Arabidopsis thaliana: one gene and its partner. The protein of the gene in region 2 purifies or fractionates together with the protein of the main gene of each other region. This does not show direct contact. Each region holds a gene or a part of one and is shown on either strand. Other genes may lie near its edges.

Region 1 (4,634 bases), on a different chromosome or scaffold from region 2:
AAGATCTCGAACATGAGTTTCCACTGTGGATCCCATTGCCTTTGCGATGTTACCAACACAAGCCACAGCTTCAAGCAAAGGTCTGCCTTTACGTGGAGCAATCTACAGGGACAACATAGTCGAACAAAGCCACTTGTCTAGTTCAGTTTTCAAAACTAAAACCCAATATAATACTTTGACACAAAAGTAGTAAAACGTAATTACAAAATAAATAAATAAATAAATAAAATTTGACCCACCGCATCCCGCAGATGAGACATAATTGTCGGCAAATAATGGATAAGCTCACCATCCAAAGCACCAGCCATTTCCCCAAGGGCGATGAACCCACTGGCTCTTTCAGCCGGTATTCTTAACACAGTAAGAATATGATTCATGCATATCTGCAAGAAAGTAATTCGTGTCACGTTTCCAGAAATTTTTTGGTTTTAAGAATCTCTCAGTCACTTACCGTTAAATAGTTTGTCACAAACCGGTCACGGAGAAAGTGAGCAATGCGAGGCAGTAACGAGGTGATGCTAAGGCGAACAAGGCGATCACGATGTTCAAGGTATCTGAGGACAATTTCGGCAACTTCTCTATACCTAGACATCATGAACTCACCTGTATTCCTGCAAACGAACTCTAGCATTAAGCTGTAAACTCTAACACCCAATATGCCATGAAATCAATCTGCTTATAACAGAAAACAACGTAATTTTCGTCGTCAAGAGTCTTTTGTTCAGGTATACACTGAGAGTGGAGGAATATACATGAATTGCCTACTTTTTTAATGATGTAAACTACAATACGAAGACAAACTAACAAAACAACCCGAGCATCATGGGGACAAACAAGTTGTTCTACGGAAATATTCCAGAATCAAACTTGAGTGTCTGACTAAAAGAAAGGGATGCTTTCAAAATAGATAACCACTTCTGCATTTACCTCAACAGCTCCCCCACGGCAAGTAAAGAACCATGAATACTGTGAACCGGAGCATTTCTGCCCAACCCATCCTGTGTAGCTTCAAACATTCGATAGTACCTGTAAAAGCCAAATTGAGAGAAGATCAGTTAATAAAGATGGAAACCCCTATTGATAATTTGAAACATTGCATTGGCAATGATATATATAAATGCAGTAGAAAGTCTGCAAAACGTATCACCATGGGAAGAATATATATTCGAATATCATCCATTTTGGGGGGGGGGGGGGGACCACAGCATAAAAAGCTAATATAAGTTGCATTTACACAATAAAATATACAAAGTAGTACTTAAATGAGGGTGATTGCAAATGAAAGTATTGCAACAACACAAAGAAAAGCCTTGCATCAAAAATATCATACCAAATACATAACCTAAGGAAAACATTTCAGACATTATCATTTTCAAGGATAAGAGAATACTTACCACTGCACTCGCCATCGAGTCTCCCTTTTCTCAATAACACGAAGGCATGCACGCAAAGCTTCAACAGCTCGTTCTCGCACTTGCAACTGGGGGTCCCTAAGTGCAACCCAGATAGCATCCACAAATTCAGGGACATGAACGTTAAAGACAGTAGAAGCATTTTCGGCCATCTCCTGCAATGTTGCAAGAAAACATCCATATCCGTATTAACTTAGGATTGGAAAGTTATCATCACTATCATTTTTCAAACATCTATAATCCAATTTATTAGTTCAGAAGTTTCTTTCTGAGTAACTAAAAGAAAAAATGATCTGCTTATCTAAAGGATCGGGCAGCTGAAATCAGGATACCTTTAATATTAAAACGGCGGCGAAACGACGATATTCCACCCTGTCTACGCGAAGCCAATCAAAAGCTGTTTTCATCTGTGAAAACGAGATCAAGAATTGAGCAACTATGAGCCGAGACAGTGATAGGAAGGGGAGGGAAACAAACAATCTTACCTGAAACTCCACTTCATCAGAAGTCATTGCTCCACCTGCCCGAGCAAGGTGCCCCAAAACTCTACTAGCAAGCACCAAGATTTCAGGATCACGCTTCAACTCGAACACAGTCCTCATGTAACCCGCAAATCTAGAAACCTTAGTAGCATTCTCACCAAATCCAATCTCCGTCAACTCATCAATGGCTCTGAGTGCACCCATGTTTTCCGCCACATCAGTGCTCTCAATTAAATTAGCAATCCTGTCATATAATTGCTCCATGAACCTAGAGGAAGCTTCACCACTAAGATCACGAACTGCTTCCTCTACGTGTTTCCTAAACGCTAAAGGAGCTCCCTCCTAATACAACAACCAAAAATCATAAACAAAGTCGCATACTTGATGGAAACCAACAACAATAGATCAAAACCCACAAATTGCCAGACCTATAAGAACTAAAACTTCGAATTTTCCATTAACCAGAACAGAGAGATTCCGTCAGATAAGCAATAAAAGCAAAAGGGTTATATGGGTTTCTACTAAAGCATAAAAAGGGAGAATACTTTACAATGTTCTTCATTACCTTAGGATTACCACGGCTGCAAAGGTCAGCGATGACACGATTCAAAGTGTCAAAGCTTCCGCCACCAGAAGCGGTGGCTGAGGGACCACAAAAGCGGTGCGATTGCGAAGGGGAAGCCATGGATGCAGGCCGTCCAGCCACAAAAGATTGCGACGAGGTAGACATCGCTGCAGGGCCAGTCCAGCCACAAAAATCTTCCAAAAACCCTAAATCTGACCCCTTTTTGGTTCAACAACACTTGGGCAGAGAGAGAGTATGTACAGAGGAAGATAGAAGAATCTTCAACACATGATGCGTCGAGAACCGAAGATCGCAGAAGAAATCAAGATTTTTTCTCTTATTTTTTTACAAATTCAATTCGCTGAGTGTCTTTTTAGCTTTCTTAGGTTTTGCTTTGTTCTTTCAGAGACCAATTATCTTTGGTAAATAAATTGGAAAACCCGAAAGGTTTTTACTAGGAAAATATGACTTTTTCCTTGGAAAATTGTAAAACTTATGTTTGTCTATCAAAAACTTATAAATACAATATTTTCATTTTTTTTTGTCACTGATTAATTACTTAAAACCCTGAAAGGGTCTTTGTTTGGGCTATGTAATGTTTAGAATGTTTAATATACACTTGTCAAAGAAAAAAAATTACTTGTGAAAAAAAAAATAGTCAAAAACTCATATTTGTTCACTGGACAATAGAATAACTTTTTTTGTCAAGGAATAACTTTGTAGTTTCTTGAATAAGTTTTCTTTTATTGTCATTTCACTTTATTATTATTATTTCCAATTATGCTTTTAAGCAGATAAGGAGTTTTTAAAATGATCATTAAATTGTAGGAAAATAATAAACTATAGTTTTGTTGTAATTAGTAGTCATTACGAACAAAAATAATGGGGAAAATGAAAAAATTCAATTGAATGCATATGGTTAAGTTTGTCAACAAATTAAATAAATAAGAGGAATAATATCTATACAAAAAAATATCGAATATTAGTCAAATTTTGAATAAAAAATGTCAAATAATAGTAGAATTGTAAAATAGTTGTATGGTAATCGATATATCATATATTGAAAAATTGATGAAATGTGAATCATATCATTCAGTTAATTTGAATTGTTTTTCTTTTTTTTGGTATGGAGTGGATTTGAATTGTTAGATGTGATGAAACTTTGTTTTTCTATTCATAAAAATTCTAAATCATAGAAATCATTATTTATTCTCCAATGGTAAATTTTTGTTTTGCTTGTATGTTAAGTAGTATTCATATTCATATGTATAGGAAAAACTAAAGAAATGGCTCCTCCAAAATATAGTTCGTGTTTCTCCGTTGTTACAACGAAAATAATCACAATGATTGTGTATGACAAAATAAGCATTACATTCGAAAATTAAACGAAGCACATCCAACATAAAATTTCAAAAGAGTTGTGGCTTGTGGGAGGCTATAGCATCGCTTGGTTTCATCGTACACATCAAGGATGGTGAATAGACAGGGTCCAAGTGTTAACGTTGCGCAATCCCATAACGTGACAAGAATGTCGGTGAAAATATTGGTGTTCTTTTCTCTCCAAATTAATAAACTACAACTAAGAGTACTATTTAAAAAAGAGTTAAAATGACACAAAATAACTCAATTTTTTATATCATTAACGCATTATACGTATAGAATTTAAATAATAACATATACATTTCCATATAGGATAAATAACCTCATCAAAAAAAAAGAAGAATTTTATTATTAGTTTAGACTTTTTTGTCAATATTAATTTATTAGCTTCTTAAGTTTTATATTATTAGCAAAGGATAATGATGCCAACTATATACATGCGTGCTCCAACTTTTGGGACCAATTCATCTAACCTAAGTGATAAACAGATAGATAAATTATCCACTTCTAACTATTTTCCATCAGCTTATTTCAAAATTTAAAAGCTAAATCATTTCAAATCAAAAAGGTCTTTGGCTTTTTTTTATCCACTGTTCCATTATTTCTCTCTTCCATTAAAAAAACTGCATTTTACAAGATCTTTCAGTTTTTAGAAGTAATCAAGTATCAGTGCCAAAAAAAGCTACATTAAAATCTTACAAATTACAGTATACGACGTATTCCTATTTTCAATCGTTATCTAAGTAGAAATATATTTAATAAAACGTGTGAAATGTCAATAAAACAACAACAAAA
Region 2 (4,846 bases):
TTGGAGACGTGAGAGGGAGAGGATTGATGCTAGGAGTTGAGTTTGTCAAAGACCGCGACTTAAAAACTCCTGCAAAAGCAGAGACCCTTCATTTAATGGATCAAATGAAAGGTTAGTTGTGTTCAATCCTAAACCAAGTGAAATTGATCACTCTCATCATATAAAGTTGATACTTATGCATTTAAGATAGTGTTTAATACAAATCTTTTGGTATCAAGAAATGGGAGTGTTGGTGGGGAAAGGTGGATTCTATGGGAATGTCTTCAGAATCACTCCTCCTCTCTGCTTCACCCTCTCCGACGCTGGTTAGCTCCTTAGTTTAACATATATATCTTCAAATTGGTTTCTTTTTGTTTCATTTTTTTATTCATGATTTATGTTGTTTCAAATCTTGTATTTTGTAGATTTCCTCGTGGATGTGATGGATCACGCCATGTCCAAGATGTGATTTACTATCTTTATCCGTTCTCTAATGATCACTCACCCTTGTATGTGTATATAAATAACACAATACATCATAAAGTAGAATTACAATTGGTGTTTACCGAAATATATCACAGATGCAAGTATATGTAACTAAATGTACAGTACTGTATACACTTGATAGAATCTACAAATAAATAAAAAACTCGCTGCTAATGATATTCCACAAATACATATATTGATCCGAAGTTTCGAGTTTAGAGTAAAACTTGAATGATACACCTGTGGGGCAAAACAGTTGGTCATCAAAGACGAGGAAGTGGTAGAAATGGCGGCGCCGCGGCGGAGTAGGAAAACGATGTCCGGAGAGCTGTCCTGATCGCGGAAACGAGACTCGTCAGCACGAATATAAGTTCTTCAAGTATGCATAGTGTCTTTCTTATCATCGAATCTTCTTGTTTTCTCGATGCGAGATTCCCAAGTGAGAGAGAGGGAGTTGTGATATTTTTCTGCTGACTTTTAGATATATATGGCCTTTGATAATGTTATTCAGACAAACAAAGTGTCAGCTTGATGTTTGTGTCCAAAATTGATAATATAATGGAATAATTGCAAAACGGAACCTGAAGTTTTGATTAACATGGAATTTGAACCCAATATTTTTTCCCTACACCAAATTTTTAGTTTTTCGGTTTTCATTTTTTTACCAACTACAATAAACCCTAGATGAATTCGGTTTAGAAGACCAGACATTGCTATGTAAGAGTAGAAAAACCGTTGGTGTTTAGATTACACTAATTTAAACGTTATAACACAAAACTGATTAAAACATAAATATACTTATGAAGCGTGTGCAATGATGATCCCTTCATGTACCCCGTTGTACGGAATCCTAGAGGTGATTCGAAGAATTTATGGTAACTCACGTAACAAAGTGTCAGCTAAGTAATTTATGGTTACGAAAATACAATTGTCTCGTTTAAAAAAAAATTAATATAGTTTTAAAAAATCTAATATCGTTTTTAAATTTAATATCATTTCTCTGTTACTAGTTTAGTAGCTTGAATTTTTGTTTTCGTAATTAAACTAGACTGATTTTTTAAATTTAGATTTAGACCGTGATTAGAATAAAAGTGAGTTTTAAGTTGCATTTTAATCAAAGAATCAGATTGAATTTGCGATTAACTTCTCAGTTAATTAGTCGATCCATTGATGGTGTTCTTTGAATTTGTTTCTCAATGATGCATACAAAATTTCAATTTCCACATTTTAAACATAAATTAATTTTAAAATTATAGATATTTAGTATACCTCTCAATCTTATAATATTAGTATTTAATAACATTGCATTAAAGTTAGTAATTAATTAGAGTGGATTTTTGATCTGAAGAGGGTAAAACTAAAAACGGAAAGGAGAAAAAGAATGAAAGAGAAGTGGAAAGAAAACGCAAATGCATTGAAGACTTTCCCTTTGTCTCTCTCTTTGACAAAATCCCAATTTTCGCATCCTCACTTTCTCCTCTGCCTTTTTTTTTTCTCTTCTGCCGCCACCACCACCACCACTGTTAATTCGCCGCCGCTTCCACATCAATCGCCGTCGTAGCCAATCATCATCGTTCTTCATCCTCCGCTTCTCCTGATTCTTAGGGTTTCCGCTTCCGCTTCTCTGTCGAGGGTTTTTCGAGCTGGATTCTCTGCTCCTGCGCCGCTGGTGCAGCGGCTTTGTTGATTGATCTGGATTTCTCCGTCTTCCTTTCTATTTTATTTTCTGTATCTCGCACAATCCAAACAAAAAAGCTAGGGCTGAGGATTTGATTTGCGTGATTTCTGGGGGTGTGTTAATTCGGGGGTGTGTTCTCCGATTTGGATGGCATTAGGAGACTTAATGGTGTCTCGGTTCTCGCAATCTTCTGTTTCTTTGGTCTCCAATCACCGTTACGACGAAGACTGTGTCTCTAGTCACGATGACGGTGATTCCCGGAGGAAGGATTCTGAGGCTAAGAGCAGTAGTAGCTACGGGAATGGTACAACGGAGGGAGCCGCCACCGCCACCAGCATGGCTTACTTGCCTCAGACTATTGTGCTCTGCGAGCTTAGACACGACGCATCCGAGGCTTCTGCTCCCTTGGGGACTTCTGAGATCGTATTGGTCCCCAAATGGCGGCTTAAAGAACGAGTAAGTTTTCAATCGAACATTGTTGGTAGCTGCAAGTATGTTAGACTAGCTTGTTTAGTGCAACTGACGATGTAAGAGGCGGGTAGAACAACTACATTTTCTAGAATTCATTATAAAATCTGCTATTGTTCGCTACTATGTTAGGTAATGTTAACCGAGGAGGGTTGTGTACTTGTGTTAACGTTTTTATTGTGGAGCTGAACCTTAAAGATACATGTTTCCGTTTCGTTTCAATCTCAATGTCTCTTCAGAAATAATTCTATTTCTCGTCGGAAGCTAAATCAGGTGTTCATTGGATCTGATAGCTAGGGGAGTTCTTGCAAGTCTCATATTCTTTGTTAACTTTTCTTCTTCTTCTTTGCAGATGAAAACAGGATGTGTAGCTTTAGTTCTGTGTTTAAACATTACTGTTGATCCGCCGGATGTTATAAAGATATCTCCTTGTGCTAGAATCGAGGCATGGATAGGTTGAAACTTTGGCCTACTCAATCCTATTACACTCTTTCTTTTCTGTGTTTATCCCTTTTTTTTGTCGCCACAGTCAATTTTATCTCTATTTTTTTTCTTTCTGATGGCAGATCCATTTTCTATGGCACCGCCTAAAGCTCTCGAGACAATTGGAAAAAATTTGAGCACTCAGTATGAGAGATGGCAACCCAGGGTGACAATTTTTTTCCCTGCACCCTATCATTATTGTTTTGTTAAGTTACGCTTTTCTTATTTATTTTATGATTTCTCAGGCCCGCTATAAGGTTCAGCTTGATCCGACAGTAGATGAGGTGAGGAAGCTGTGCTTGACTTGTCGGAAATATGCAAAGACCGAGAGAGTTCTATTCCATTATAATGGGCATGGTGTGCCAAAACCTACAGCTAATGGTGAAATTTGGGTATTTAACAAGGTCTGTTTTTTACTAGCGTTTTCTTTTCTCTACCATGTTCTTGTTCCTTCTCGTCTGTTACCACGAGCTGATTGATTCTCTGTTTGAGCAGAGTTATACACAGTACATTCCCTTGCCAATCAGTGAACTTGATTCCTGGTTGAAGACACCCTCCATCTATGTTTTCGACTGCTCTGCTGCTAGGATGATTCTGAATGCCTTTGCTGAGGTAAAGGAAACAACCACTTCACTTATAGAACACATCTCCTGTCGAGTTTAGGACTCGAGTCTGTAATTTTCGTTCCATAAGTTGATAAAATTCATATACTCTTTACGCCAGCTTCATGATTGGGGTTCTTCTGGTTCCTCTGGATCCTCAAGGGACTGCATTCTACTTGCTGCTTGTGATGTACATGAGACACTTCCTCAGAGCGTTGAGTTTCCAGCTGATGTTTTTACGTCTTGCCTGACAACGCCCATTAAAATGGCGTTGAAATGGTAAATCATCATTCCATCTCTGACTTTTTTTGCGTACTCAGATGTCATGTTTTCTTCCTACAAAATGTAGTTTAAGTTCCGTCTAGCTAAGTTTATAAAATCTTAGCTAGTATGTTCTCGCTTCATCATGAGGTAAGATCAAAACTTTTCGGCAGCATTTTGGATGGGACCAAAGATGGATCATAGAGTTTTGTTTAGAAGACCTTGTGCGTATGTTTTAGTTTTGTGGGGTGGTAAAACAGCATATCATAAGAGTTGTGAGATAACCAGGACTGATAATACCTTTAGCTGCCAAGTCACTTTGCATATGGAAGTTTGCTGATGTATGGTTTGCAATAATTCTTTCTGTCCTGGCTAAGTATTTTTGATGATACCAAAAGATTCACGATATCATCCTGATTGATAGCCTTCTCCTTCTGTGATATTTATTCTATAACTAATTGCTACTGAGTCTGTGCGGTTTCAATTCTGGGCTTCTTTTTAACCTTTTTCCAGTAAACAGATCACCATTTTATGTAGTTCAGTTTAGCTTGCAGCTTTTTCACAAGAGGATTTCCATTGCAGGTTCTGCAGGCGTTCGCTTCTGAAAGAAATTATCGATGAATCACTTATCGACAGGATTCCAGGCCGGCAAAACGATCGTAAGACATTGTTAGGGGAGTTGAACTGGATTTTCACAGCAGTGACGGATACAATTGCTTGGAATGTGCTTCCTCATGGTACTTCTCCAAACTTTCTGCATAATTTATCAAGGGTAAATCTTCTTCAAGTTGACTTCTTTTCTGTGTCCTCATGAATGATAGTTTTACCCTGCAGAACTTTTCCAGAGATTATTCAGACAGGACTTGTTGGTCGCTAGCCTTTTCCGGAA

Evidence for each region.
Region 1: the proteins of RAPTOR1 (region 2) and TOR purify together in Arabidopsis thaliana (affinity purification with western blotting; 2 studies listed by BioGRID, with this or other methods). This does not show direct contact.

Annotation. Positions count from the first base shown.
Region 1 is NC_003070.9:18,536,996-18,541,629, forward strand, and holds the start of TOR (target of rapamycin), read right to left. Parts: upstream 3,001-4,634; 5' UTR 2,625-3,000; coding exon 2,460-2,624; intron 2,237-2,459; coding exon 1,898-2,236; intron 1,820-1,897; coding exon 1,745-1,819; intron 1,568-1,744; coding exon 1,395-1,567; intron 1,027-1,394; coding exon 928-1,026; intron 612-927; coding exon 452-611; intron 384-451; coding exon 240-383; intron 103-239; coding exon 1-102. UniProt on the Arabidopsis thaliana protein: Essential cell growth regulator that controls development from early embryo to seed production. Controls plant growth in environmental stress conditions. Acts through the phosphorylation of downstream effectors that are recruited by the binding partner RAPTOR.
Region 2 is NC_003074.8:2,692,356-2,697,201, reverse strand, and holds the start of RAPTOR1 (Regulatory-associated protein of TOR 1), read left to right. Parts: upstream 1-1,801; 5' UTR 1,802-2,290; coding exon 2,291-2,599; intron 2,600-2,963; coding exon 2,964-3,066; intron 3,067-3,177; coding exon 3,178-3,260; intron 3,261-3,339; coding exon 3,340-3,498; intron 3,499-3,589; coding exon 3,590-3,706; intron 3,707-3,817; coding exon 3,818-3,975; intron 3,976-4,539; coding exon 4,540-4,694; intron 4,695-4,791; coding exon 4,792-4,846. Other genes in the region: PYD4 (PYRIMIDINE 4), read left to right, coding at 1-111, 219-305, 405-448. UniProt on the Arabidopsis thaliana protein: Probable component of the plant TOR kinase pathway that recruits substrates for TOR. Modulates plant cell growth and regulates the activity of ATPK1 kinase in response to osmotic stress.